4 linked regions of the Tamandua tetradactyla genome follow. The protein of the gene in region 2 interacts with the protein of the main gene of each other region in a pairwise test. Links are inferred from orthologs where the notes say so. Each region holds a gene or a part of one and is shown on either strand. Other genes may lie near its edges.

Region 1 (7,084 bases), on a different chromosome or scaffold from region 2:
GATCTAACTAATTTATTGGCAACATAAGAGTTACAGATAGGTTAAATGATACTATGAGGAAGCAATCAAATCCAGGATTCTACTACATAAAAAATTCATCCTGGTATTCACCATAGTAAGATACATATCTCTTCCTAATTCCCTTTTACATCTGGATCGTATCCTTTTACAAGGATTTATTCATTCATTTGTGGTTTGTTTCCCTCCACAAGAAAATTAGCTCTATTAGGGCAGGGATTTTAGTCTATTTCTGTTTGGGTGCCTAAAATAGTGCCTATCATAAATGTTTGTTGAATGAATTTCAAGGCAAATGGTGGCTCTAACAGAGAAAACCATAAGGTTTACTTGTTTGCCTCCTATATTAGACTCTAACTTTTGAGGTAAGGATTCTGCCTTTCACCTTTATAGACTCAGCTGTTATATTGTACCTGAAACATTCTATGTTTGTTAAATGTTTGTTGAATAAATAAACTGGGGATTGTCTAAGTCCAATCATTCAGTGCCTTGTACAATTAGGAGAAAAGAGTAGGCACTTTGGAATTTTATTTCCATAAAGTCACAAATCTGTAATTTTCCTTGATAGTCTTCTCTGATGAATCAGAGGAAGACTGAAAAGTCTCCAGAACAAGATAACTGAGGCAAAATTAAAATATCACCCTGCTTTTACTTGGAAGTCCACAAATCACACTGTTTCTTAGAAAATAACACTTCAGAGTCATCTATTTAAGGTATAACTGCTTTTACTATTTCACACAAAGACAGCAATATAATAAAAAACAAGTGCGAAAGTTTACCCTGTATTTAAAGAAGTAAAATAACATACGATTAAAAATTAAAATTAACTAAAAATTTGAGAAGCCTTTTTGACCAAAAGAGAAAAGAGAGAAATGAGACAAAATAAAATTTCAGTGGCTGAGAAATTTCAAACAGAGTCGAGAGGTTATCCTGGGGGCTATTCTTATGCATTAAACAGATATTCCTTTTTAGTTTATGGTCTATTGGAATGGTTAGAGGAAAGTACTCAACAGTGTTCCAGTAGCCTTGATTCTTGAAGATGAGTTATAATGACATAACTTTTATAATGTGACCGTGTGATTGTGAAAACTTTGTGTCTGATGCTCCTTTTATCCAGGGTATGGACAGATGAGTAGAAATATATGGATAAAAAGTAAATAATAGCGGGGATAAGGGATAGAATAAATTGGGTAGATTGAAATACTAGTGTAAGAAACTGTATATAAGCACTGTCTCCTAGCTGATAAAGTTTTCCACAGGGCCATGGGTTAACAATTCTGGCACTACTATACAACTGAACTGGCACTGAACGATTAAGTAAATGGGTGATGGCAGATGATGGGAGTCAGGCTCCTCACTGTTACTGTGGGAGGTTACAGATAAGCAAGGGAGGATGCTAGTATCAATCACTGTGATAATGGATTGCAGTTGAAATGGATACAGATTGTTACATATAGAAATATTTATAGATATGTGTACATACATGTTAGTATATACACATATCTGTTCTTGCTCTGTCAGTTGATAGGACCTAGAAACAACGCAGTCCAGTAGCAATTACCACACCTAGTGCACACATCTTGGCTTTTAATACCATTCTTCAATATGAGGAACCAGAGCTTCTCGGAGTAATACCTGACTCTGAGACGGGAGCAAAAAGTATTTAAGATGAGCCTGGAGGATCGGTAGTGCTAGAAAGTAAGGAAGTTCTCAGGAAAGACAAACAACAAACTCACAAAAATGGGGTCATATTAAAGGGACACAGGAGTCAAGTGAAAGAGCTCCCAATGGCAAAAGGTAGAACAATATAGGCAACAAAATAAGGTGGTATTGGATTATAATGGAATGTATAAAATAAAATCCATGAATCCATAACAACATGAATAAATTATTAAATATATAAATAAATGGGGGATGAGAGACAAATCTCCAAGATCTTGGCACTAAGTGTGCTTGTTACTATTGAACTACCTTTGTTTCTAGGTTCTCTCAACTGCCAGAGTAAGGAAAGCCATGCATGTATCCTAACCTGTGTTTGCACATAGGCAGAAGAATTCTAAATAATTTATGTAGCTACCCCACCTTCAAGGAGGTGGAACATAAACCCCTTCTCCTTATGTGTGGGCTGCACAAAGTGACTTCCTTCCAAAGAGTACAGTATATAAAGGGGAGAAAAAGAATAATTTTGCAGTGGAAAAACCTGACAAACACTGCCTTATCCAGGCTAACAATCTTAGTGATAATCATGTTGATAGTACGCATCCTTGATATGATGTGATTAAATGACACTTTATGTGGTCCTTCTAAAAAACCATTGCCCCAGTCTAATCATGAGTAAAATACTTGAAAAGTCCCAATTGAGGGGCATTCTACCAAATACTTGACCAGTACTACTGAAAACTGTCAAGGTCATCAAAAAACAAAGTCTGTGAAACTGTCACAACCAAGAAGCATCTAAGGAGACGTAATAACTAGGTGTATGTGGTATCCTGGAACATTAAAAGGACACTAGACATACATAATATGTATTTTCTGTATTCAAATGGGTATTTTTTAAAAAGTTGATTACCCTGAGGTAAGTACACATCTCACCCAGTTCCATTCTATTCCAAGAGGCTATCTGATGTAGAAAGGTGCGCGCTGACACTACTCCGTGGTTGCAGAGGGGGCATGGAGTCCTAGGATTTCTCAGAGCTTCTGGATTCCAACTGATTTTTGGTGCAGGGTGGTTGGTGCAGCCTGCCCCCATTCGTTTTGGTGGCAGCGCTCTGATTGTTGAACGTTTACAGTTCTGATAACTTTCCTGCCTTTAAGTTTAGTTATGGCTTTTTCCTTATGGCATGAACTTACTGATATTCTACTAATAAATTCCTTTCTTTGCTTAAATTTGTCAAATTTCATTCCAATTGCTTGTAATCAAAGAATTTCAACAGATAAAACCAATTAAAATATCTAAGGATTTAAAATGATATTGGTAATCTGATTTTAATGCTCATATTGAGGAGAAAATATGTAAGAACAGCCAAGAATACCTTGGAAAAGAATGATGATTTCTCCAACAGCCATACTATAAACGACAGTAATTAAAATAGGGTGCTATGGCTGCAGGAATAATTATCAATTGGACAAACTCCAGAAACAACCCCATAAAAACGTGGGAATTTAGTATATGCTAAAAGCACCATTTCAAATCAGTGTGGAAATAGTGAAACGAATTGACAAGGGTTTTTGAGAGTTTCGGATATCCATATGGAAAAAATGTTATAATCCACGAAGCTATGACTTGACCGAGACGATTTCTCTCTTGACCAAGCTACTGGCCTTGCCTCTCCTGCCCCAATACCTGCTTCCTCCCCAGAACTGAAACTGGTCTTGCACTTGTGGGACTGCAGAAAAAAAATAACTCAAGACTGCAGGAGGAAAAAAGTGGGGGGTGGGAGCGGAAAGACAATTTCAGATAGTAGCTACTCCATGTTATCAACTTCATTCTCCTTACCCTCCCCTTTTTCGCCAAGGGCTTACTGGAACTTTTTCACTGCCCTTGCCCTAAATATAAAATTCAACCAATCTCATGCCTTCCTCAGAATCGAGCTCTACTCTCTTTCTCCTACCGTGGTAGCTAGTAATGAAGTGCCTGTTCCGCACTGTCCGGTGCAGTTCTTTCTTCGATAGACTAGCCAGACACCACATTCTTTTCTCCCAGCAGCCGGAAACTCGTGAGAAGCGTAGTTTGGTGGAAATTTTTGAGAAGCACTGATTTAACTTCTATGAGTTTCTGTCTTACTCGTCTTACCCCAGTGAATTCAAGAGGAAATAGGCTAGAAAGCCGTTAGTACAGTACAAAGCGCAGAACAAATTTATATTAACATTAATTCTGCTCAGAGCGACACTAACACACTCAGAAGTGTAAACCTCCCGCAGTCTTCAATTCTCCACTAAAACCTGGAGCTGGAGTAATCACTGGATCCTTAAGCGAAACTCAGATCTGCGCATGCTCTGTAGGTGGAGCCGCGCCCTTCCTCCCCCTCGTCGGAGCTCCCGCTTGTTTACTAATTTACGACTGTCGTAAACTGGGATTTCCTGACGGTTCCCTAGCTTTACGTCGATAACAACTATGGCGGCCGCCAGTGGTAGATTTGAGAGTGAGAGGCGTATTGAAGAGCGTAAAGAACAGACTCGGATTGCCAGGGCCGAAGTGTTGCGCCAGGTATCTACCCCCGTTATGGGTATTTTGGAGCCTTCTAGAATTGTGGGACTGGAGGGAGCTAGCCGTTCAGCCCCCTCGTCCTCTGCCTTCAGTTCCACACCTTATTTGAGCGAGGTCTCCCTTTGGGATGTCTCCAAACTCTTGGGTATCGCTTGCATACTAGATATTCTGGCGATCCAGTTGCCGGTTCTCTTTGCAGGGTGATCTGTACTTCCTCAGAGTTTCCTTACCTCTTAAAATCACTCCTTCTTGACTTTTCTATCACCTAGGTTGCTTACTTTGAAGGGACGCCGCCAGTTGCAACGACTCTTCTGCCAACGGGCTTCCCAGCCTCAGTCTTCGCTGCTGATGTATTCGAAATGAAATTTTTTCATTTTGAGGAACATATGCAAGGCGCATTGGGGTAGACTGTATTTGACTGCTTTAATCTACTGTTTTACTATTGATATAAATTCCAAGCTTATTGTAAGCCCTTACTTATATAAACAAGGATTGACAAAGGAAGCCCAGACAATTTAGATTTTCGAAAAAGGTTGAGAAACATTGTAGTTCTCATTAAGATTGAAATACAGGGTGGGCCACGGTGGCTCAGCAGGTAGGAATGCTTGCCTGCCATGCTCGAGGACCCGGGTTCGATTCCCGGTGCCTGCCCATGTTAAAGAAAAAAAAAAAAAGAAAGCTTGAAATACGCATTATGTTACTACGAAAGAATAGAGGAAGTAAACTACACTGTGCCATCTGGCAAGCTATTCACGATATCAGAAGTTTGACAATGCAGAGGAAAAATTGTAGTTGGAGAACTACATAGGGTACAAGTGAGGGTTTTATTTTGGTTTGATATAAGACGAGAGGTTTAAGCGAGTTGAAATGCAGATGAGAAGGAGCGAGTAAAGAAGAAGAGTTAAAAGAGAGGATAATGACTACAGCCATATCTTAAGAGTAAGAGTAGGGTATTAGTCTTGTCACTGTGTTTCAAGCACTGTTTAGATGGAGTAGGGTTTGTAAACATTTTTTAAATCCTCTATTTAAGACTTATCTGCAAACTGAGCTTTATTTTCTTTTATTTAGTGCTCTTGTGAAATAATTTACTCGTTGGTATTTAAAATTTGTTTTTGTTTTTTTTTTGAGATTTCGGGCCAGCTTGTTGAATATAACTCAGGTAAGGAAGAAAGATTAATTTATGGGAGGATCAGTAGTAGCAAAGCAGTTCTAATAAGATTCTCTCGGTAGAGAACAGCAACCAAAAACATTAGATTGTTGAATAGAAATTATGAAAATCATTTATTTGTGTACAAACTAAGATAACTTTGAGAACTGACATCTGTTTGCAGCATTGCCGTTCATGTTGGAGGCTCATTAAGTGTTTTCTTATTGTAATGCATTTTCATATAAGTGGTCTTTCTGTTTGAGCTTCCTTACTTTTATTGGTGTGGAATAAAATGACACTCACAAATGCTACAAGAAGAAAACTTCCAGTTCACCTTCTGATGTGTTAAGAAATATCCAAAACTTGGAAATAAAGCATAAAGTGACCCTGTCCTTTTAATATCAAACTACAGAATTTTCTAAGAAGCCTGTTTAGATGATCATATGATTAGGGCAATGCAACTTTGTTTGACTATTTCCTATTGGTTATAGCTGAGACTTTGTAAACTTAGATATTTGCTTTTAGAAAGCAGGGAAGATATATTAATTATTGACTGTAGAGAATATATCCCCAAAGGCTATTCTTCCTTTGCTCTGTTGGACATTAAATGGGTTTGAATATATTTTAGCAGTCATATTCCAGCATTGTTTTTTTCCCTTGACTATCTCTAAGAGAGAGAGAGAGAGAGAGCGTTGTTTCTTTTTTTAAGCTGCATAATATTCCACTGTAATTATGTATCATAATTTATCTAATCAGTTTGCACTGAATTACATTTATTTATAATTTTTATTACAGAGGACTTTAATGAATAATGTCTGTAGTAATTCGTGTAATATCACTTGTACTATGTTAGTATTTTTTTGGATAATCTTTCATTATTACATTGTTACAATGAATAACCTTATATATGCTTATTTACATGTTATCATTTGCATATATATATATATTATTATATATACACACACACATATATCTGTTGGATACATCCCTAGAAGTGGATATATGCTTTTGTAATTTTGAGAATTATGACAAGGTTACTCACCATAGAGGATATACCAGTTTACTTGATTGTCATCAGTGTATAAAGTATTTGTGCATACTTTTGACATCATGGTATGTAATCAAACTTTTCAATAATATTTTAAGATGGCACTAATGTCACTCTTAGGACCTAATATTATGCTACTGATTGATTTGCCCACTTCTGGGTATTTTGATTATTTATTTATTTTCTAATAACTTCCCCAGAAAAAACAAACAAACAAGCAAAAATTATTCCCACCTTGGTTTAAATATTTCACATTCCCATCTACTCTGAATATTGTGTGACTGAGACCTATATCTTCCGTATGTGTTCTGTATGTATTTTTTCCTTTTTGATTTTCTTTTCATGTGGTTGCCAGTATCTGAAATAAGACACTGTTTTTATCAGTCTTGTAATATTCATTGGAGAAGTTTTGAAGCTGTTTTTAAAAAATGAATGTTAAAGATATTTGTTTTTAATGGCTTCTGTATGAAGCATTAGCATTTGTAATAAGTACCATAAATTCTGTGAGCTTTAAAGTACTGTAGAAGGAAAATCTGGGAGGGTTTTATGAAAAAGAAAGAGTATATTGCTTCAAATTGCTTAAGCCTATGGCATCATATGTTTTAACATCTTGCTTACAGGTTTGGCTGGAAAAGAAACAATGAATCCTTGTTAGATTCAGATAGTT
Region 2 (7,236 bases):
AGACCACAGTATCTGGTAAGAGCTGCTTCTCCATGTTTGTAAAGCACCCGGTGGAATGTCGGCACACAGCTATTTTTTTTTAATACTAGCTATTATTATTTTCTGAGAAAGTATCTTATTATAGAGGAAAAGGTATGAGTTTCAGAGCAAGATTTGGCAAGTTATTTGGCCTTGGGCAAGTTATTCTTAAAGACTCAGTTTCTTCATCCGTAAAATCTGGATAGCATCTTGCATGATGGTTTTAAGATTCAGTGGTCGAGAGAGCACCTCTCATATAATAGACACCAAACTTGTAGTGGCTCCTCTAAGCATTCCCAGAGTCCAGAAGCAGCTTCCATTCAACATGTATTAGGTGCCAGGCACTGGGCTAATCTGGAGTTAAGATTTTTACAGAAGAAAAAAGAAACTTAAAACTTCAGGAAAATAAGATTCATTTTTTAGCAGCTTCTTCCACAGCCTCTAGAGAGTCGTCCAAAGATCATGTCACCCATCCCCCTGCCTCAAGTCAGGAGTTGAACTGTTTTATGAAAACGCCAAAAGTTCTAAGTCCTTACAACCTCACCCAGAAGTATGCTTTGATTCCTGTAGCTGTTACTTCCATCTGTCTTCACAGTATTATTCCACTTGTTTGAAAAATCTTCAGTGACTAGCTTCTCATGAATTGGTTAAGAAAACACTAACTACTATAAAAGTTAAAGCCCAATATTTTGGTGACATAACAAAATAGAAATGATTTACTGGTCAAATGAAGTCCAAAAACACATCCTGATTAGTAGGCAGCTCTCCGCCAAGTAGTGGTTCAGAGAACCAGGCTCTTTCCATCCTGTGGTTCCATTATCTTTTACATGCGATTTTCAAAGTCACTGGGTTCAAGGTCATTTGCATCAAGCCTGAAAGGAAAGAATATAAAGGATCTCTCTTAGGAGACTGAAGTGGAACACATCCCTTGAAGGGAAAATGAAAAATGTGGTCTGTGTATGTGCTGTTTTGAACCTATTATGTACCCCTGAAAAACCAAGTTCTTTAATCCTCATTCAGTATTGCTGTGTGAGATCTTTTTTATTGTTTGCATGGAGATGTGACCCACTCAATTATGGGTGGTTTGTGATTAGATAGTTTCCATGGAGATGTGTCTCCACCCATTCAAGGTGGGTTTGTTTACTGGAGCCCTTTAAGAGGGAACCATTTTGGAAAAACTTTAGAGCCAACAGAGCCCACAAAGCCAGAGACCTTTGGAGATGCAGAAAGAAAATGCCCCTGGAGAAGATATCTGAAACGAGAAGCCAGAGACCCCACAAATGCCAGGCACCTGTCTTCCCATCTGATAGAGGTGTTCCTGACCTAGCGGCCTTTCTTGAACCAAAATACTTCTATCTAGACACCTTAGTTTGGGCATTTTTATAGGTTTAGAACTATAAACTTGCAACTTTTTTTAAAAGCCATTTCATAGGTGCAAGGGTAGTTCAATGGTAGAATTCTCGTCAGCCATGCAGGAAACCCAGGTTCAATTCCTAGCCCATGCACTTGCCCAAAAAACAAGCAAACAAACAAAACAATAAATTAAACAAATGGTGCAGCAATAATGGGATGCTCATGTGCAAAAAGAATGAAATGTGATCCCCGCCATATAGCATATGAAAAATATATAGCCATTCCATTTCTGGTATATTGCATTCTGGCAGCTTACAAACTAAAACAGTGTGATAAAAAAAAGAAAAGAAACACATTCTGATAAACACATAGCAGGCTCTGCCTTACCTGGCATTCAAGATTCTCCATACTCTGGCTTAAACTTATTTTTATATCTTTATCTTCTATTATCCAGGTCTGGCTCATGCCTGATATATTAGTCAGCTTTGCTGCAGTAACAACCAATTACCAAAATCTCAGTGGCTTACAACAACAAAGGTTTATTTCTGTCTTATGTATATATAGGCTATGGTTAGGCTGCAGCTCTGCTCCACAGGTCTTCGCATTCAAACACCCAGGCAAAAGGGAACATGCCCATTCTAGTGGCAGAGAGGAAGAACAATAAAGTGGAAATTCACATGCTCAAATCTGGCATGAGTCCATCAACAGGAGGTACTGCAAGTCACATGGTAATGGGCAGGGAAGGAGAGAGTTTAATTTTAAACAATAAATCCATCTAATGCAAAACTCCCATCTTCTATCTGGAGTACATGGGAAACAATACTAATTAATTATAGCACTCTTTCCTCAGAATCCTTCTTAACACGACGCTTCAGGCAGCCATTACGAATAATCTGGGTCTACAAAAAAAAAGTTAAAATTTATTTCCTGTTCTTATGTGACTCCCTAGTCTCTTGCAAGCATTATACATTCTCATCGACAGACTTTTGCTTCAGTCTGGAATGAGTTTAGTTCTGCCAGTCCCTGTCCTACTAAACCATCTAAATCTAACCCAGCCTTCAAATATCTATATTTTACATTCATTTTTTCAACAAAATTTATTGAATACATTTTGCATATCTGACACATGTATTTGTTGAATGAACATTTCACATTACCTTGTGCCTTGCACATACATGCTCAGTGAACATTTACTCCCTGATTGACTAACAGCACTCTTCCTTAAAACAATAGGAGTTAAAATACCAATAGCCGGTGGGAGTATGGTATACTAGCTATTTGTGCTTGAATCTTGATTCTACCATTTACTGGATGGATGACCCCAGGCAAATCATTTAATTATGCCTCAATCTCATCATATGCAAACTGTGGATAGTAATAGGGAGTCCTATACAGAGGTTGCTGTGAGTATTAAAGGTAAAAAGCTCTTAGTGTGGTTTAACACATTTTAAGCACCCAATAAAAAATTGCTATTATTTTTAGCTCCAGCTGAGATTGAGTTTTCTTATAGGTCTTTATGCTGGGTAGAACACAAAAACCAAGATCACTTGAGAATTGGGTCCTTGAACAGGCCCCACTCTTAATCCACCCCAGGACCTCGAGCCATTTCCTGATCCAGCAACTTGTTCCCTAACTCATAAATCTTGACTAATAACACAGACCCGTCACCTTAATGTTTGTGCAGACCAGTGACTTATTGTCAAATGCTTGGAGATCTTCAGATGAAAGACACCCAAGGGCAGGCACCAGACATCCCATTCACAGTCATAAAAGCAAAATACCACCCAAAACTCTGAAAAGCCAGAAGGCTTCATGACTTAGTGCAACAAAGAATTAAAAGCAGGCACCTAAGAAAAGCAAATTAATCCTGTAATCCCTTAATACAGGGTTTGCAGAAAAATAATTTTGAATGAGGCGGGGAGGGGGTTGGGGGTGGGGAATAGATAGGATTCCCAAGTCTTTAACTTGACTCCAGGGGTTGGGAGAGTGTGAATCTCTTTCACTTCTCCTAAACAAAAACCGGAGCAACAGCATCTATTGTTATCCTAAATAATTTAAGCCAGTTAAAAGGCTTGGGTAAACAGTACCATATAAGTAGCTTGTGAGTCTTGATGTGTCCTGAGTTATGCCAGGCTCCCCTTTCAACTTTATTTCCCTCTGTTCACCGCCCCCACCACCAACACTCCAGGAACTGCATCCTCTTCAGAGATCCAGAGGCCATTCTAGGGGAATTGTGCATATTGATAGGCTTCTTGCCTCTAAAATCCTCAAGTTGGAAGAAAATGGTTAGTGCTGACCATTTTCATATAGTTTTTACAAGGGGTCCCTGGAGTTGAAGCAAAAAAGAAACGGGTACCACAGCTATTCGTTTCCCATCGTCTGAGTTGGTGGGTAGCTGTGGTGTGGTGGAAAGAGTACTGGATTTAGAGTCTAGCAAACAGAGACCGGTTTCTTAAAATTTCTGAGTTCTAGTTTCCTTATCTATAACATCTGGAAAGCAACAATGCATATCTCTCAGGGTTCTTGTGAAAACTGAATGGGAGGAGGTATCAAAAAGCGTTCTATCAAACCTAAAGATTTACAAAGAAGTTATAGCTATAAATGCTCCATACCGCCAACAATGCACGCTGCGAACCAGCACCCACACTACCGCAGCGGGCCCCCTCCTACGGCATCATGGGAAGTGGAGTCCTTTGGTGGCCACACCCTCGTTTTCTGTCAAGGAAGTGAAACTCCGCCTCCCAGGATGCCGTGAGGAGGCCACAGACGCGGCCGCCCCTTCTCCGCCCTCATTGCGCGCAGCTTCCTGGGATGTGTAGTCCCAGACCCGAGCAGTACTCCGGTGTACAGTGCGAAAGAACCACAAGCCCCAGAAGCCCTCGTGCCCACTCTTCTCCCTCCCCTCCCGGAGTCGGAGTGCTGTTTTTGTTGTTGGTGAAAGGTGAGGGAACAGCTGATCCGTCTGTGGGGTAAGAAACTTGGCCTAATTTGGGGACTGTTTTATGTGGGGAGGGGGTCACCCCTCTTTCCATGTTGCGAAAGGATAATCTAAGGGAATTGTAGGAAGGGGGGATACAGGGGCGTTTGGGTTTTAACACTTTCTGTGAGGCCACCCACACTCTTCTGGGAGTTCTTGGTTTCAAGGGGGCCTTTAGTAAAAGGTGTCCCTCGCTGTCCTGTCCTCACCTTCCTTTCAGTCCTTCTCTATAAGCTTGATGCGCTTAGGGGAGTGGAAGGCTGAAATCTTTGCGCATTCTCTCCCAGGCGAGACGTAGCCCCCACAAACTTCCCCTCACGAACGCCCCACCACTACCACCAACTCCACCAAATCCAAAGGCCTTGACTACGCTGAGTGCCTGAAAAAAAACCTTCCAAGTTGTAGAATGTCAAAGAACTCTAGAGCCCTACGGAGTGGGCTTTACTCTCCCGCCCCATGTAACCCCCTGAATCTGGCTGCACGCAAACGGCTTTGGTGTACAGAGCTTTCTCTTAGGCCTGGGGCAGCTATTACCGATTTTATTTGTGGGGAGTATTTGGGATTCCCCAGGCTTAGATATTTGAGAATAACTCAACCCCCTTTAAAAAGCCAAAAGAATTATATTTGGAAAAACTTGAGCTAGTTTTAACTAGGGATTTTTCAGAGACATGAAAATCCAAAGAACTCCTTGTCTTTGATTCAGTCTCTAGTTGGGAAGAGGTCACTCCTTCTTGTCGAGTTAGCACACCTTTCCTTCTCCACTGAGTTTCTGTTTTCTTTTAAAGTCCCTGCCACCCTGACTTCAGCCTGGTGTTTTGGATTTTTTTTTTTTTTTATGTTTGGGGGCGTGCCCATAATTATTGGCGATGGCTCACTGGACGCTATCAACTGTGGCTGGTGCAGAATGCAGATTAGTGGGCTGGAGGGGAAGGATGAAAAAGGGGGCCGCCTCACTGCTCTGAGCTAAATTCTCTTGATTGTTATTGTTATTATTATCTGTCCTCACTCTATCCCCATATTTTCCCCATCAGCTCTCCCCAACTAAATTGGAACAACTTTCCTCTCAATACCATCCTAAAGCATATTTACAACTACCAATCCAAACAGATGGAAGGATTCAGGCACTTAGAACTGGGGCTAGAGGAACAGAGAGAAAAGGAGGAGGGACGTACTAGAGCTGGGTTAACACCTGGTCAAACCGGTAGGTTCCTAGTCCTGTTCCAGACAAGATCTGGAGAGAAGCAAGGTAGGGTTTTTTAAAACTCTCTCTTCCACCCCTCAGTATTAAATATGCATTCCCCTTTTCTGGCTCCCCTACTTCTACGTTCCCTGCCCAGGGGTGGTACTTTCCTTTCCTGTCTCCTGACACCCACGTTCCATCTCCCCCACACCACCATGTTCCAGCTGAGTGTGTCGCCCTTAAGCAGCCGCCTCCAGAATTCTTGACTTCCTGGAGTGATGAAGTGAAAGAATGAAACCTGTCTTTCTTTATATCCTCCCTTTCCCTTTGTCTCTTGGATGAGAACAGAGGCTTTTTGCTACCCCAGAATTCATGGGGGTAGACAGCTCAAAATGGGGAAGAGAACTGAGAGCCCAGAGGTCTGAGGATTCGGGTGTTGGTGCCCTCCTAACCATAATCCAGCTCTGAAGACTCAGTCATTCCTTTCAGAGTTTAGTTGCTGTTTTCAGGTGTCGTAAGTCATTCCTAGGTGCAGCTAGGTTAACAACCTCAGGAGTGAGTAAGTAGACCTGCTCAGAGTGAGGGGGCACCACACTTTTGTTGGATTTTTAATTCAAGAGCCAGAAGGTGTGGGGGATGGGATGGGAGATGGAGGATGGAGAATTCTGAAAGCTTAAGGCAGGTAAGAGGTGAAAAAGAGGGTCTGAAAAGAGCCTGGGGTACTGATACCTGGTCAATGGGGTGACAAAAAAGGGAGCCAAAATTAGAGAGATCTGAACTCTGGAAAAAGTCTATGAGCCAGAGAGGGCGCAATGTAAGACAGTGTGGGTACTGACTTAGAAGGCCAGACCTACATCCTAGGGACTAAGAGTGTACCTCTAAAGGGTCCTATAATCCTAAAAGGGGCTGGAAACCATTTGTCTTCATCTCTAGGTGTGGAGGCATGGTTCTGAGAAAATGGAGACTCTAGGATATTAACCCTTTCTTTCACAGGAAGGCAGGCACGATGGAAGAATCATCCCTAAGCCGGGCACCATCCCGGGGTGGAGTCAACTTTCTGAATGTAGCCCGGACCTACATCCCCAACACCAAGGTGGAATGTCACTACACTCTTCCCCCAGGCACTGTGCCCAGTGCCAGTGACTGGATTGGCATCTTCAAGGTATCCCTGGAACCCCTTTTGGATCCAGCTTAGGGGCCATGGGTTGCTGGAATAAGGGGAATGACTAGGTTCTTGGACTCTCAACTGCATATTGAGGAAAAGGGAGAAAGATACTACAGATGACAAGGGCCATCTGTATAAGCTAAGCTAGTCTCCTCCCAATCTTAGCTTTGTTCTCCCCTGACATATTAGTGTCCCTCCACTTGCCCTGTCTCTCATCCTCCTTGCCCTGTAACATTGTCCTATCCTTCGTCCAATCCCTCAGCCTCTCTACCATGCATAGGTGGTAGTGCTATCACTGTACCCTTCTCCCATCTTGGGCTTTCACAGGTGGAGGCTGCCTGTGTTCGGGATTACCACACATTTGTGTGGTCTTCAGTGCCAGAAAGCACAATTGATGGTTCCCCTATCCACGCCAGTGTCCAGTTCCAAGGTACACGGGAAGATGGAAAACCAGGAGGGAGGAGGAAAGGGGATAGACATTTGGAAGAATGCGTTAAGCTCAGAAACATAAAAGTCAGGCACAGGCAACAAGGGAAAATAAAT
Region 3 (6,844 bases), on a different chromosome or scaffold from region 2:
CCTCCTGGCCAAGGAGCAGAGAGGGAGGGGATTCTAAGTGCTCATGATGGCCCCTGGCCGCAAACTGCCTCTCTGAGGTCTCTCCTGGGCTCCAGGAGCCCCAGGGGGGCCTGGGACCTTGACTTGAGTTCAAACTTCAGAGACCCCAGTGTAGGTGTCATGTCTTTGTGTATGCCCATTGTGTGCAAGTGGGGAGGTGCATGGAGGAATGGTGTATGTGAAGCAGGTCTCTGGGTAGTCAGGGAGGGTTATTAAGAAGCCCAAATCCAAGGTCCCTAACTGACCGGTTAGCCTTGGGAAGGACCTTGGGAACCATCTCAGTGGCCTCAAGGGACAGTGGGGCCTTGGGCGAGGAACACTCGATTCTGTTTTGGAGGAAGGAAGCAGCTTGGCAAAAAGTGGAGTGGCTCCTGGACATATGGTTTCTGACTTCAGTTCAAGGCTGGGCCTCCAGCCTCTGTGCCAAGATCTAAAGATTGCTCCGTAACCCGCTGATACCATTTTCTGTTTGTTTGCTTGTGCTGCTTCCCTCAGCCAAGTCTTCTAGATCCCCCACTAAGGGCCTGCAAATCTGAGCCCTGCTCGTGACAATCCACCAATTCGCTGTGCTTATGTCCAGCCAGTAGCCTCCTCCACAGAAGACCCTTCCAGCCTTAACCCTTCTCCCCTTACTCCTCACCACCCCTGAAGGCCACATGAATGCTTAAAATGGTTCACTGGATCTTCCTGCTCCTGGCCTCACTATAAACGTACATTGTACACACAAACTCACAGCCACACCCTGTGCCATGCTGCGTCTACTCCCAGCGTGGCCTGGCCTAGGCTAGGCCTAAAGGGCAGAATGCCTGGCTGGGCTTGGCACTGGCCAAGCCATGGGATCAGTGGGCGAGTTGGGAGTGGCAAGGGAAGGTTGGAAGAGGGGAGCAGTACATCATGCTTTATAATTAAACTCAAATCAAAAAATAGAAACAGCATCAAGTGTGTAGAGACAGGCGTCTGGAAGCCGATGGCACAAATTGCCCATTGGAGACCACAGCTTGGGCAAGATAACCCCTCAGGTGGGTGAATGCCCCTATTTCAGGGTGGCGGCACAGAGCATGCCGGGTAATGAGGGGTCAGGGCACCAGTGCCTTTGTTGGGTAGAGGACTGGGGAAGTGTGGAGAGGGCTGGGGGTCTGTGCTGGTTTGAGACTATTATGTACTCCAGAGAAGCCATGTCCTTTAATCCTCATTAAGTATTGCTGGGTGGAATCTTTTTCATTGTTTCCATGGAGATGTGACCCACCCAATTGTGAGTGGTAACTTTTGTTTGATTGGATGATTTCCATGGAGGTGTGTCGCCACCCATTCAAGGTGGGGTTGCTTATTAGAGCCCTTTAAGAGGGAACCGTTTTGGAAAACGCTTTAGAGCCAACAGAACCGACAGAGCCAACAGGACAGACAGAGCCCTGGGGAGGCCTCCGAAGAAGCCTGGAGAGAAAGCTGGCAGACATTGGCATGTGCCCTTCCAGCTGAGAGAGAAACTCTGAACATCACTGGCCTTCTTGAACCAAGGTAACTTCTGTTGGATGCCTTAAGTTGGACATTTTTATAGCCTTGCCTTAATTTGGACATTTCATGGCCTTAGAACTCTCAACTTGTAACTTACTGAATTCCACTTTTTAAAAAGTCGTTCCAGTTTTAGTATATCTCATTCGGGCAGCTTTTACTAGCTAGAACAGGGACCAACTGGGTCAGAGGTAAAGGCAAAGCAAAACACAGGGATCTGGGTTTGAATCCTGGCTCCCACACAATTTGGCTGTGTAACCTTGGGCATATCGCTTAACCTCTTTGAGCCTCAGTTTCCTCATCTATAAAATGGGGATGAAAATATTACCAATGTCCTAAGGATACTGTGAGGATTCAATGAGAAAATGTCAGTACCTGGCTCTGTGCCTAGTATGTAGTACATCCTAGTAAGTGGTGAGTAATTATTGCTGTACTGAGAAAGAATCATCCAGAGACACAAAAAGAAAGAACTCAAGTCTCTGAAGGAACCCTCTGCCCTGGATATGGCTGAGGCTTAAAAGAATAGCAGTAACAACAGTACTGGTAATCCCAGTAAGAGGCACCATGAGGCAGCCACTGTGGTGAGCACTTCACATTTACTATCCCATGGAATTCTCACAGCAGCCCCACTGAGGGGCTCAGAGAAGTCCGCACACATATACCAAGTCATTGACCTGGGAATTCTACCCAGACCTGCCCACTACCTGCCCACTTCTGCACTCCACGCGTGAGAACCCCAGCTGCTCACCCCTGGTACCCCCTTACCTCCATCCCCAAGGCTTCCTTCACCAGACTCCTTGCTGGGCCTACCCTGAGACGTGCAGCCCTAGCTGGCCCCCCTGGGAGGAGGGGGCAGAGGGAGAACATGTGTCTAGAGCAGCAGCTGAGGAGGTGGACGGCAAACCGCTGCCCCTGCCCTGAGGGAGCCTGTGCTCCGCCTGGGGCCACGGGCATGCAGGGGGCTCTCCTGGGACCCTGCGGAGGAGCAGGGGCTTCCTGTGAGGGGGCAGCGAGGCAGAGACAAACGGGAGAGCAACAGAGAGAGGAGGAGGGATACAAAGACAGAAAACAAGTGTGTGAACTTGTAAACAGCAGCCACACAAGAGAACGGGAAAACCACAGCCCACAGAGGCAGCCGCTCAGCGTCGGTGGGAGCAGCAGGGAGAAGGTGACCTGGAGCCCCCGGCACCGAACAAGGACTAGAGTGTTTGGAGAGGGGAGCCAGGGGCGGGGCCTGTCCCTGCTGGATGCTGGGCCCCTGCTTCGCCCTGCTTGGCAGAGGAGATGTGGAAGGCGCTGTCTGGCAGGACCCTCAGCAGTCAGGTCTGGGGTGGCAGAAACAAGGGAAGCCTCCTGTAGCCCCCCGACTCTCCTTCCTTGTCTGAGCTTGGAGCTTCTGGAAAGAAGTCACTGGGCTGGCAATCCTGGATCCCCCCCGGGACAGAGCAGACAGGCGTGGGTATAGCTATGAGGTTTGGGAGAGAGGCCCTAGACAGGACCTGACAAAGGGAAAAGGCCAGGGAGAAGCCCCCATTCTCCAAAAGTGGGCCTACGGCTCCTAGGAAGCTGAGGCATGGGTTGTGGCCTAGCAACCCCGGATTCCTGACCCCTCAGCTGGCTCTTCCCTGGAGCCCCCAGGAGGTCTGGGGTCCAGCTTTCTCTCTGCTGTGTCTGGAGATTGGGCTGCGAAGCCTCCACCGGCCACTGGGAGGCAGTGTTACCCCACGCCAGGCTCCGCGGGCCAGAGCCCCACCTGCCAGGCTTCTGGAAGTTCCATCCAGCCCAGCCTGGGGCTCTTGCAGCCCCTGCTGCTGGCTTCAGACCAGTGTGGAAACTGGACTTCCCTCGAGTCCGGGGACTTTTCCAACCCCGACACACACATACTCATCATTGCATACCCAGCCACTCCTCTCATCCTCAGGTCAGACCCTCAGTTAACCCTGGTCAAGCAAGGCCACAATCTTTAGCCTGAGAAAGGGAAACTGGCCCAGAGAAGAGCCAAGATTTGCTTCTGGTCACAGAATGGGTCGTGGCAGAGTCCCAGCCTGAGGCAGGCTCTTGGGACTCTGTTTCTACCACTTGAGGTCGCCTCCCATCTTCATTGGGGGAATGGGGGTGTTTATGGGGCCAAGAGTCTTCAATCCCAAAGATATGCCAAGCTGAGAGAGGGTCTGGGTGTTTTGGGACAACCGCTGCCTCAGTCCACAATAGGCTGGTTCTGTTCTGAGGCCCCACCCCCCTGGGCTCCAAGGGGAGGATCTGGAATTCTAGCCACTTCACAGCATGTGTGTTCTGGGTAGAACCTGCCCTGGCCCCATTCCGTTCACACGCAGAGTCCTGCCCCTGCTCCCACTCCCCCACTCCCAACCCCTGACCATGCTCTAGGTAGGTGGCAGGCCACCCAGCCCACCCTGAGAGGTCACAGTGAGGGATGAGGGGGAAGGCCGGGTCTTCACTCCCACCCTGTCCCCCTGCTGCCCGCTGGGTGAGCTTGGCCAAGCCCGTGGCCTCCTGGGTGCCCGTTTCTCTTCCTGCTCCAGGCACCTCCTACCAGAAAGAAAAACCGTTCCTCCCTGTTTACACCGTCCCTAGCTATTGGCTAAAGGGACCAGAGATTGTTAGCCAAGATGGGCACTCCTTCCCATCACGGCGCCAGACTCAGGTCCTGGTGCCACTGACCCCCCAGCTGTGCAGGGCGCCGGATTCCCTCAGCCAGCTGACTCCTGACACAGCCCACCCCGCCGGGGTGAGGCCTGCCCTGCAGCGCTGGCCTGAGTCCTGGGGGTAAGGAGGAAAATCCCTGGGCTTCCAGGCAGATGTGTAAGTCCTCAATGCCAGGCTTCCCTGCACAGACAGACCAGCTAGCGGCCCTTCCCTGGGGTCCCCAAAGATGGTGACTGAAAGAACTGGGGATGTATTTGGAATAGCACAGACTGGATTTAAACCCCAGCTTCCCTACTTATTAGCCAGAGGGCATTGGGTGGCACTTAAAAAAATTTTCTGTGTGCTTCAGTTTCCTCCTGTGGAAAACAAGGACTGCAGTATCTACCTCATACATGGGGGAGAGAGTAAATAAATGGGTTAGTGTTTGTGAGGCACCAGACATATAGGAGGCTTCAGATTATTCAGTGTGGAAATGCTAACAAATGTTGGTTCACAACCCTACTCCAACCCCAGATGGGACTTGCTCTCCATGCATCTGAAACTGGAAGGGGATGGGAACCTGAGGACAGCCTGTGGTAGGGGGGTAGGGGCTTGAGATGAGCTGCCTTGGGGTGGGGGGTGGGTGGGCCTTCTCGGAGCCCTCTCAGGGCCGCAGCCACCTGTGCTGTCCATCCCTACAAAGTCCCGAGTGACCAGCGTCTTAAGGGCTGATGTCTGCCTGAACCAGTGCTGCAGACAGGAATGCTGGGGGCCCCTTGGCCAAAGCCTCTGACGTCAAATGCCTCAGCAAAGGGCAGGTGAGATATCTGCCCAGCTCTAAGGTGGCGACAAGGGATTCTCTTGAATGGTTCCAGGCTTCAGCCCCCACTAGATACTAGCTTCATTTAAAGCAGCTCAGTCCCTTCCCCCAGCATCCCAGTGGCACCAGGGCACTGCCCCGCATCTGTCCACCGCAGTGTGTGCTCTGTCCCAGGATGGACTCGTTGCAGAAACAGGACCTCCGGAGGCCCAAGATCCATGGGAGAGTCCGATTGACCCCCTACCAGCCACCCACACTTTCTTCGCTGCAGAGGCTGCTATGGTCCCGCCGGGCCATCCCACTGACCCACATCAACGAGGTCTGGCCCAACCTCTTCCTGGGCGACGCGTAAGTAAGGTCCATGACACTGGGGGTGGGGGGGTGCAAGGTCTCACATGGGGGTGGGGGACTGGGCCTCTACAGAGCCGTCAGGTGTCGTGGGGACAGAGATGGCCCTTCTTTACCTCTCACCATCTCTGTCCACATTTTTCTTTCCTTATTATTATTACTTTTAATTGTGAAATATAACACACACATAAGAAAAGTGCCCAGAGCATACGTGTACAGTTTCACTGCCCAGGTCAAGAAATATTTCTAACTTGTGCAGAAGCGCCTGCTGAATGCATCGTATCCAAATCCTATTCCTTCTCCCTGTAGATGACCATTATCCAGACTGTTGAAATAATCATTTCCTTGCTTTCCTTTATAGTTTTATCATCTATGTACCTCAACAATGTAGCTAGTTTTGCCTAAAGTTTTATGAATGGAATAAGACTGTGAGTGTTTTGTGCCTGGCATCATTTGCTCAAAATTGTGAGATTTACCCATACTATTATGTGTTGCTGTATTTGTTCATTTTTCATTGCTGTATAATACTTCATCGTTTGAACACACCATAGTTTATTCATCCTATTGCAATTGTACCTTTGAGTTGTTTCCACTTTTGGGCTATTGAGAATAGTGATGCTCGGCACACTCTACCCCATGGGTCCTGGGAGCGCACACAAGCTTGTTCAGAGTGTATATAAAGAGAGAGCAGAATTGTCACTATCTCTAAAAATTAGAAAAATATGCATTGATATATATGGGTTTTTGAAGATATTCTCAAAATTTAGAAAATATTGATCAGTATTTTATCCCCAAGCACACACACACAGAGACAACCAATAATAAAATCCTTGTAAATTTTTTTAAATGCATATACACATGCATGCTTTTTTACAATTATTTTTAAAAAAATTGGTATTATGTCATAATGCTGTTTTATAGTGTGCTTTATATAGAAAGATTTTTAACTAGAATCACACGTTTTAGAACATTTTCAACAAAAATTGAATTTCCCTATATACACTGTTTTGTAAACTGCGTTTTTCACAAGCTTCCAATATAGCATGAACATCTTTGCTTCTTTATCTCCATCTATTAGTAGTTGCATAGTATTTCATCATTTAGATATGCCATACTTAATCTCCTGTTACAGGATATTTAGGGGTTTTTTTCATTCAGTTTTTCACCATTTAAATATCACTAGGTTCAGCGTACATATGTCCGTGAGCACATTTTGGATTCTTTAATTAAGTTCCTAGAAGGAGAACTGCTGTGGCAAAGTATATGTACATTTTTAAGGCTTTTGATGAATGCAGCCAAACTTCCCTCCCTGAAAGTTGGCCTGAGGGAAAGGGACTCTTTAAACTCCATCTATGAAAGCTACTTCACCCCAGGTCAATTCACTGGTTCTAGTCTCCACCCTTGCAGGGAGATGCAGAGGAAGGAAGAAAATTCCAATCCGGCCAGGGGGTGACTGGGTGAGAGCTACCCCACCTCTCTAATCCC
Region 4 (6,981 bases), on a different chromosome or scaffold from region 2:
GAACATATACTAAGAATGTTTGTGTTTCTTTCCTGTAACTTTTTTGAATTAATAAAAAATTTAAAAAAAAAAGAAATCAAGTGATTTTTCAGTTTATCCATGCTTCAACTATCAATTTTTTGCTCTAAATTACATGAAACCATAGTTTAACATAAGTAGAAATCAATGGAGAACTTACCTGTGAAAACCATCCTTCAAAACTTCTTGCCTCAAACTAATTTCAGAACAAGCGGCTTTCAGGCCTAAAAGAACCAAAAGATTTTTAAAAATAAACACTCATGAAATAATATTTAAATAATCATAAAATAATTGTTTAATAAGTTTTACTTGCTTGGAAAATCTAATCATCCTAAAAACAAAACAAAAACTTTAAACAATCTGAGCACATAAATCTCTTTTCAGTATAGGATAGTGGTTAAGAACACCGATTCTGGAGTTAGATTGCCTAGTTTCAAATCCAGGTCTGTGACTTAATAGCTGTGAATTTGGGCAAGATATTTTTATTCTGCTAGTAATCATGAGAATTAATATATGGAGTAGCACTTACTGCAGGGCAGTATTATTATCACATAATAAGTTCTCTATACAGGTGTTTGCTATTAATATTACCTTATCCTAGGACACCGAAAGGAACAGAATAACTAAAAAGCCAGGAAATAGTTTTAATTCTAGCTCACTGAAATTGCATACCAGACACATACTAGTAACGTGTGTCTTCTGCCACCCAAATCTATAAAACAAGAAAGATGGTACATTTATGCCCTGTATGGCTGTTGGAAATATTAAAAACAAAACAAAAAGTAACTGGAGGCACTTAAAAATTCAAAGCATTCCTTTATAAACTTAGATTAATGAGATATCTTGTTTTAGGCTATACTGACTCCATGCAGAAATCAGATATTAAAACTACTAATGAATGTCAGCATCATAAAACCAAAAATTCAGTTACTATTGAACTGCACTTTTGCTAACACTGGCAGGCACTGTTCCATGGAGCTTTATCTCAATTTCAAAAGTTGGAGGTGTACACAAAGAATATTAAAACTCAAAACACAGAAAACCACAGGCTATTACTGTATGTTGCTGAACCATGAGAAGTATTCCTGAGAAGGTTTATGAAAAAAAAAATGAAGCGGACATGAAAATATTCAAAATATACAAAGCAAGGAAGAAAAAAACAACAGGAAAAAATATTTATAAATATATGCAAACCCTATACTTCAGGCTATCACTCATTTCTTTTATCTTTCACAAACAGGCAGACAAAACTACTGCCATTAGTACACAAGAGGAAACTAAAGAGCTGGTAACTGGCTCAGTTACATAACCAAGTGATTAGAAATAAGGTTTGCCTAACTTATTTTTTTTCTTTTTTGTGAAAAATAACATATAAACAAAAAAAGCAATAAATTTCAAAGCACATAGGCTGAGACCCAACATCGGGAGATTGAGAAAACCTTCTCCACCAAGGAGGGGAAGAGTGAAATGAGACAAGTGTCAATGGCTGAGAGATTCCAAACAGAGTCAAGAGGTTATCCTGGAGGTTATTCTTATGCATTAAGTAGAAACCACCTTGTTATCCAAGATGTAATGGAGAGGCTGGAGGGAACTGCCTGAAAATGTAGAGCTGTGTTCCAGTAGCCATGTTTCTTGATGATGATTACATAATGACATAGCTTTCACAATGTGACTGTGTGATTGTGAAAACCTTGTGTCTGATGCTCCTTTTTTCTACCTTGTCAACAGATGAGAGGAACATACAGAATAAAAATGAATAATAGGGGGAACAAATGTTAAAATAGATTTAGTTTGAAATGCTAGTGATCAATGAAAGGGATCAGTAAAGGATATGGCCTATAAATTTTTTTTTTCTGTTTGTTATATTTTTCTGTTGTTTTTTTATTTCTTTTTCTGAATTGATGCTGATGTTCTGGGAAATGATAATGGTGATGAATATGCAACTATGTGATATTGTGAACTGCTGAGTGTATGTGTTGAGAATGTTTGTGTTTCTTGTAATTTTTTTAATTAATAAAAATAAATAAATAAATAAAAAATTTCAAAGCACACTGCAACAACTAGTTTTAGTATAGATTTCAGAGTTTGGTATGGGTTACAATTCCACAATTTTAGGTTTCTACTTCTAGCTGCTCTAAACTAAAATATCAATATAATGATTCAGTAATCATACTCATTTGTTAAACCCTACCTTCTCTGTATAATTCCACCATCAACTTTGCTCTCTCTTCCACTCCACTTAGGATATTTGCTGCTTATTTTTAAAGTCTAAGATTTCTCTCCTTTACTTAATATTTATTTAAAGGAATGCTTATTTGCTTTTGAGAAGCATATAAACGCTCCCAAATGAAATAACCTATATGTCTCTTTTACAAATTCAGATTTGTCTTCATAATGCTTTATTTTAATGGGGGTTGGTGGGGAGTAAAGGCTTATTGTCTCCCTATAAATTATTTTAGAAAAAAGTCAGATAAGTACGCTTAAATTCTATTGGGATGCACACTAGAAAGCAGTAAATCACATTCACCACGGGATGGTGGAGACGCTAATTTGCAAACAGTATAGCAAATGCTATTTATCATTCTTAAGACAAAAGCACCATTTTCCAAATGAGTCTGTTACAACCGAATTCACCTTCAGGGTTTTTTCTCCTTAAATATTACTTTATTCGGATGTGATAATCTGAACTGGCTCTGAAAATTGACCCCTTTTTAATCATAAAATGTCAGTGCAGTAAGAGTCTTTAGAGATAACCAAGTTCAGATGTCTGAGAATGCTTTTGGCCTTATAATCCTTTCCTCAAATAAATTTGGAACCTAGTATGTAAAACACACAAAGGAGAGCTGCACTGTTTGACAGACACTAGTCTAACAGCCTTACTTTAAGGATAGAGAACGCACCTGGTTTGCGCTGACTTTCCTTCCTCTGGCAAACAGGATCACTTAGCTGCAATTATTACTGCACATGTCAATCTCCCCTATCACATTGCAAACTGCACAATGTTAGGCCGTGTCTGGCTGGCTCAGGGCTTCATCCACAGCACCTAACAAGCACTTCGGGCCACTGACACGGAATCAAAAAAGTGAACCAACTCGTTGCTCACCCAGGAATCATAAAGAAACCCTTAAAAAAGATGTTTGTAAAACTAAATTAGTCGTTTCCCTAGAGTCTCTGCATTCTGGATTGGGCTGCTCGCAACTCACAGAGCGTTGAGATCTTGCTGACCCCTTGGTGGTCAGGAGCTTTACACATCCGAAGGCACTTCACGGAAACACCTTTTTTCTGGATTAGAACAGTGCCGTCACCCTCGCCTCGGAATGACAAAGCCCGGCTCTCCAGAGACTCAGGAGCGGACAAAGCCATAAGACGAGGAAGGTAGGGGCCCTTTTTTTTTTTAATCTCCTTCAGCTCACCCCGGAGTTCTGAGATCACACGCCGGGATACACTATACATCTTTGCTAGTCAAGGGGCGGAGAGGACCCCCGGAGTCGCGACTGCCTGTCCCCGGCCACGGCCCTCAAACTCCGCCCGCACTCCCGCAGCCCCGCCCCTCTCATTACCAGCGTCGGAGAAGGCGGCGGTCAAGGCCCAGGCAGGAGCGCGGGTGATCCCAGCTGCAGCCCAGAGCAGCAGCCAGGCCACGGCCCGGGCAGCCACTGCCCGAGCAGCCAGAACGCCGGAGGGCGTGTGCCCGTGGGGCGCGCAGGGACGAAAAGAGGATGGAGGAAGGAACCTGCACACGCCTAACGCCGCTCCTTAGAGCACGATGCCACGGAGTTAGTGATCGGGACGGAGGGTTCGGTGCAAGTACAACTGCAGTCCCGCGGTTTTCGCCCCCCTTCTCACAGCCCCAGCCCCCGAAGGTTCCGGAGCCCCGTGAGGCCCGTCACCTGGCCCCTCCTTCGTTGCCCCCTCGGCCCCGCCTCTCACCGTTCCTCTCTGGGGCGGGGCGAGAGTGGCGCAAGCGCCGTGACGTGCACCCAGGGCTGTTGCTGTGGAAACCACGTTCTGTGGGCGCCCAGGTGGAGTTTGAACCCGGCGGGTAGGCCTAGGAGCAAGCTCAGCGCGCTTGGGCTCTCACCCTCCACTTCCACGCATTTATGGATTCAGGCCTCGTGCCGGAAGTTCACCCACGTCCCCTGCTGCGGGCCATGACTGTCTCTTCTTCCTGCAGCGCTGGCTTCTTCCTGGCCGCAGTGTGGGGATAAGGGCTCTTTGCGTGCGCTGCAGTTGGATGGAAACGTCTCGGCACGGAGGTTGTAGATGTTGGTCTGTATAAGATGCACTTTCTGTACTTTTCTAAGAGTAAGATAGTCAACCTTGTGCTAGTGGAGCCTATGGAAAATGAAAGTCTTGCGTAGAGAGAGGATAATTCACCCTCAGAGGGGTGCCATTGGTGTGGCAAAATACATACTTTTATGCTCCTTTTACGCAGGGTATGGACCGATGAGTAAAAAGTATATAGATAAAAAATAAATAAATAATAGAGGAGTAAGGAGTAAAATAAAATTGGGTACATTGAAATACTAGGGTTCAGTGAGAGGGAGGGTAAGGAATATGGGATGTATGCATTTTTTTTTAATTTTTTTGGAGTGATGCAAATATTCTAAAATGATTATGGTGATGAATACACAACTATGTGATGATACAGTGAGCCATTGGTTATGCACTATGTATGGACTGTATGTGTGTGAAGATTTTTGTCAATTAAAAATTTTTTTTTAAATCCATACTTTTCTAGGTGCCGTAGGGGATCTTTAGCAAGATTATGGCAGGCCGAGCCTTCGGGAGAGAAAAAAAACATTAATATCCAGGAAGAATAAAGTAAAAACTATTCTTCATGAATTAAATTGATTCTGTCCGCAGGCCTAGAGAGCATCTAGTGTAGATTGGAGCAGAACAAAGGGCTCCAAGACGGATGCTTCAAAGAGGAAGAGTGTGTATCAAAAGATAATGTCTACTGTGAGTCATTGATTGTATACTTTGGATGGATTGTCTGCTGTGCGAATAGGGCTCAGTAAAATTACATTTAAAAAACAAAGCAAGGGAGTGCAAGGGTAGAATTCTCTCCTTCCAGGCAAGAGACCTGGGTTCGATTCTTGGTCCAAGCACTTTGCAAATAACAAATAGGCAAAACAAAACCGAACAAATAAAAATTCAACAAATGATGCTGCAATAATGGGATACTCACATGGAAAAATAATGAAATGTGACCCTACCATACAGCATACAAAAAAACAGCAAAAAAAGATAACATCTAAAACTGAAAATAGCAGTATTTTATTAAGAAATATGGTGATACATTTTTGGAAGAAACACCTAAAAGACTTGCGACTGGTTGCCTATAAGAGGGGGTAGAACAAGGGGCAGTAGTTTTTTGTTATAAACCTCTGTATTAGTTAGGGTTCTCTAGAGAAACAGAATCAACAGGGAACACTTGCAAATATAAAATTTATAAAAGTGTCTCACGTGACCGCAGGAACGCAGAGTCCAAAATCCACAGGGCAGGCTGTGAAGCCAAGGACTCCGATGGAGGGTCTGGATGAACTCCACAGGAGAGGCTCACCAGCCAAAGCAGGAATGGGGCCTGTCTCCTCTGAATCCTCCTTTAAAGGCTTCTGTGATTAGATTTAGCATCACTAATTGTAGAAGACACTCCCCTTTGGCTGATTACAAATGGAATCAGCTGTGGATGCAGCTGAGGCGCTCATGACCTAATCCTATGAAATGTCCTCATTACAACAGACAGGCCAGCACTTGCCCAATCAGATAAACAGGTACTACAACTTGGCCAAGGTGATACATGTCCCTAACCATGATAACCTCCTAGAATTATTTTATTTTTTAAGCAACATACAAATATTACTTTAGTAAAGATAAAAGTTATATTTAAAAGAATAGAGAGCGGGCCATGGTGACTGAGCAGGCAGAATTCTCATCTGCCATGCGGGAGACCCAGGTTTGTTTCCCAGTGTCTGCTCATGCAAAAAAAAAAAAGTATCTGTAGTCAACACTATTTTATTAGCGTATCAATTGGCACATTACCATTCATGAGTTGAACCATTTGCTTAAGTGTTTGGAGTTTATATTGTGCTCAGCAGGATCTGGAAGACTTACAGACTAAATTTAGTGAAGTGAGTTGGGAGTTGTATTTGTAAAGAACAAAAAAGGGGGATTAGATAGGATCATTAGGTCAGGAGCAAAGCACAATAATTAGAAAAAAGCAGTTCTTTAAATATTGTTCATTTCCTAAGAGTAAAATTTCCCATGCCCAACAATAAAGGGTGAATAAAATAGATTATGGTACATCCATAGGACAAAACACTTGGCAGTCATATTAAAAATCACAATTTAGTAAAACATTTAACAAGAAAGTAATCACATACGTTGTTAAATTTAAAAGGGAGGAAATAGTATGTATAACATAAAAAATATACTGTAGCTTAAAAAACTAAAATTATATACCTAGAAAAAAGACTGGAAGGAATTATGGATGATTATTTTTGTTTCCTTTTTTCCCCAGTTTTCTAACATGAATATGTATTTCTGTTATTTAAGTAATTTTTTTAAACCATGTTCCTATAGTGATTCTCTAACAGAACTGAGTTTATGAGGATGTCATCATCATATATCATTTTACATCAAGGTTTCTTGATATTTACAAATTTTCCAAAGATTATCTTGGTCTCATCTAAAGCAGTCCCTGTAATTAAGTGTATTTTGGTATTGGGGTTGGGATTGGAAGTACTAATCCGAAAAGTACCGTTTCTTGGTATTGAAAACAATATTATATAGTGAGACAAATAAGCTGAAATGAAAGCCAGGTGAAAATTATTGTCTACTATATGTAGAGGCCAATTGATTCTGCACCACATTGACCTTTTTAATCAGATTTCTAGACTATAAACATTTAGAGGCTGTACAGGGGCAGTGTCATATATTAATATATTGAAGTAAACAGGT

Evidence for each region.
Region 1: the proteins of CALCOCO1 (region 2) and CWF19L2 interact in binary tests that used the Homo sapiens proteins (3 or more experiments, as listed by UniProt). The two-hybrid records come from large-scale screens. The link is inferred for Tamandua tetradactyla from reciprocal best matches to the Homo sapiens genes CALCOCO1 and CWF19L2.
Region 3: the proteins of CALCOCO1 (region 2) and DUSP13B interact in binary tests that used the Homo sapiens proteins (3 or more experiments, as listed by UniProt). The two-hybrid records come from large-scale screens. The link is inferred for Tamandua tetradactyla from reciprocal best matches to the Homo sapiens genes CALCOCO1 and DUSP13B.
Region 4: the proteins of CALCOCO1 (region 2) and CEP19 interact in binary tests that used the Homo sapiens proteins (3 or more experiments, as listed by UniProt). The two-hybrid records come from large-scale screens. The link is inferred for Tamandua tetradactyla from reciprocal best matches to the Homo sapiens genes CALCOCO1 and CEP19.

What each region holds. Positions count from the first base shown.
Region 1 is NC_135334.1:34,509,623-34,516,706, forward strand, and holds the start of CWF19L2 (CWF19-like protein 2), read left to right. Parts: upstream 1-4,074; 5' UTR 4,075-4,129; coding exon 4,130-4,222; intron 4,223-7,084.
Region 2 is NC_135333.1:115,162,595-115,169,830, reverse strand, and holds the start of CALCOCO1 (calcium-binding and coiled-coil domain-containing protein 1), read left to right. Parts: upstream 1-4,236; 5' UTR 4,237-4,340; intron 4,341-6,521; 5' UTR 6,522-6,534; coding exon 6,535-6,690; intron 6,691-7,020; coding exon 7,021-7,123; intron 7,124-7,236. UniProt on the Homo sapiens protein: Functions as a coactivator for aryl hydrocarbon and nuclear receptors (NR). Recruited to promoters through its contact with the N-terminal basic helix-loop-helix-Per-Arnt-Sim (PAS) domain of transcription factors or coactivators, such as NCOA2.
Region 3 is NC_135339.1:21,488,095-21,494,938, forward strand, and holds the start of DUSP13B (dual specificity protein phosphatase 13B), read left to right. Parts: upstream 1-3,834; 5' UTR 3,835-3,979; coding exon 3,980-4,332; exon of another isoform or gene 4,333-4,368; intron 4,369-4,894; exon of another isoform or gene 4,895-4,953; coding exon of another isoform or gene 4,954-5,009; intron 5,010-5,123; exon of another isoform or gene 5,124-5,185; coding exon 5,186-5,359; intron 5,360-6,844. UniProt on the Homo sapiens protein: Dual specificity phosphatase that dephosphorylates MAPK8/JNK and MAPK14/p38, but not MAPK1/ERK2, in vitro. Exhibits intrinsic phosphatase activity towards both phospho-seryl/threonyl and -tyrosyl residues, with similar specific activities in vitro.
Region 4 is NC_135336.1:16,998,506-17,005,486, forward strand, and holds the start of CEP19 (centrosomal protein of 19 kDa), read left to right. Parts: upstream 1-3,971; 5' UTR 3,972-4,274; exon of another isoform or gene 4,275-4,287; intron 4,288-4,884; exon of another isoform or gene 4,885-4,980; intron 4,981-6,981. UniProt on the Homo sapiens protein: Required for ciliation. Recruits the RABL2B GTPase to the ciliary base to initiate ciliation.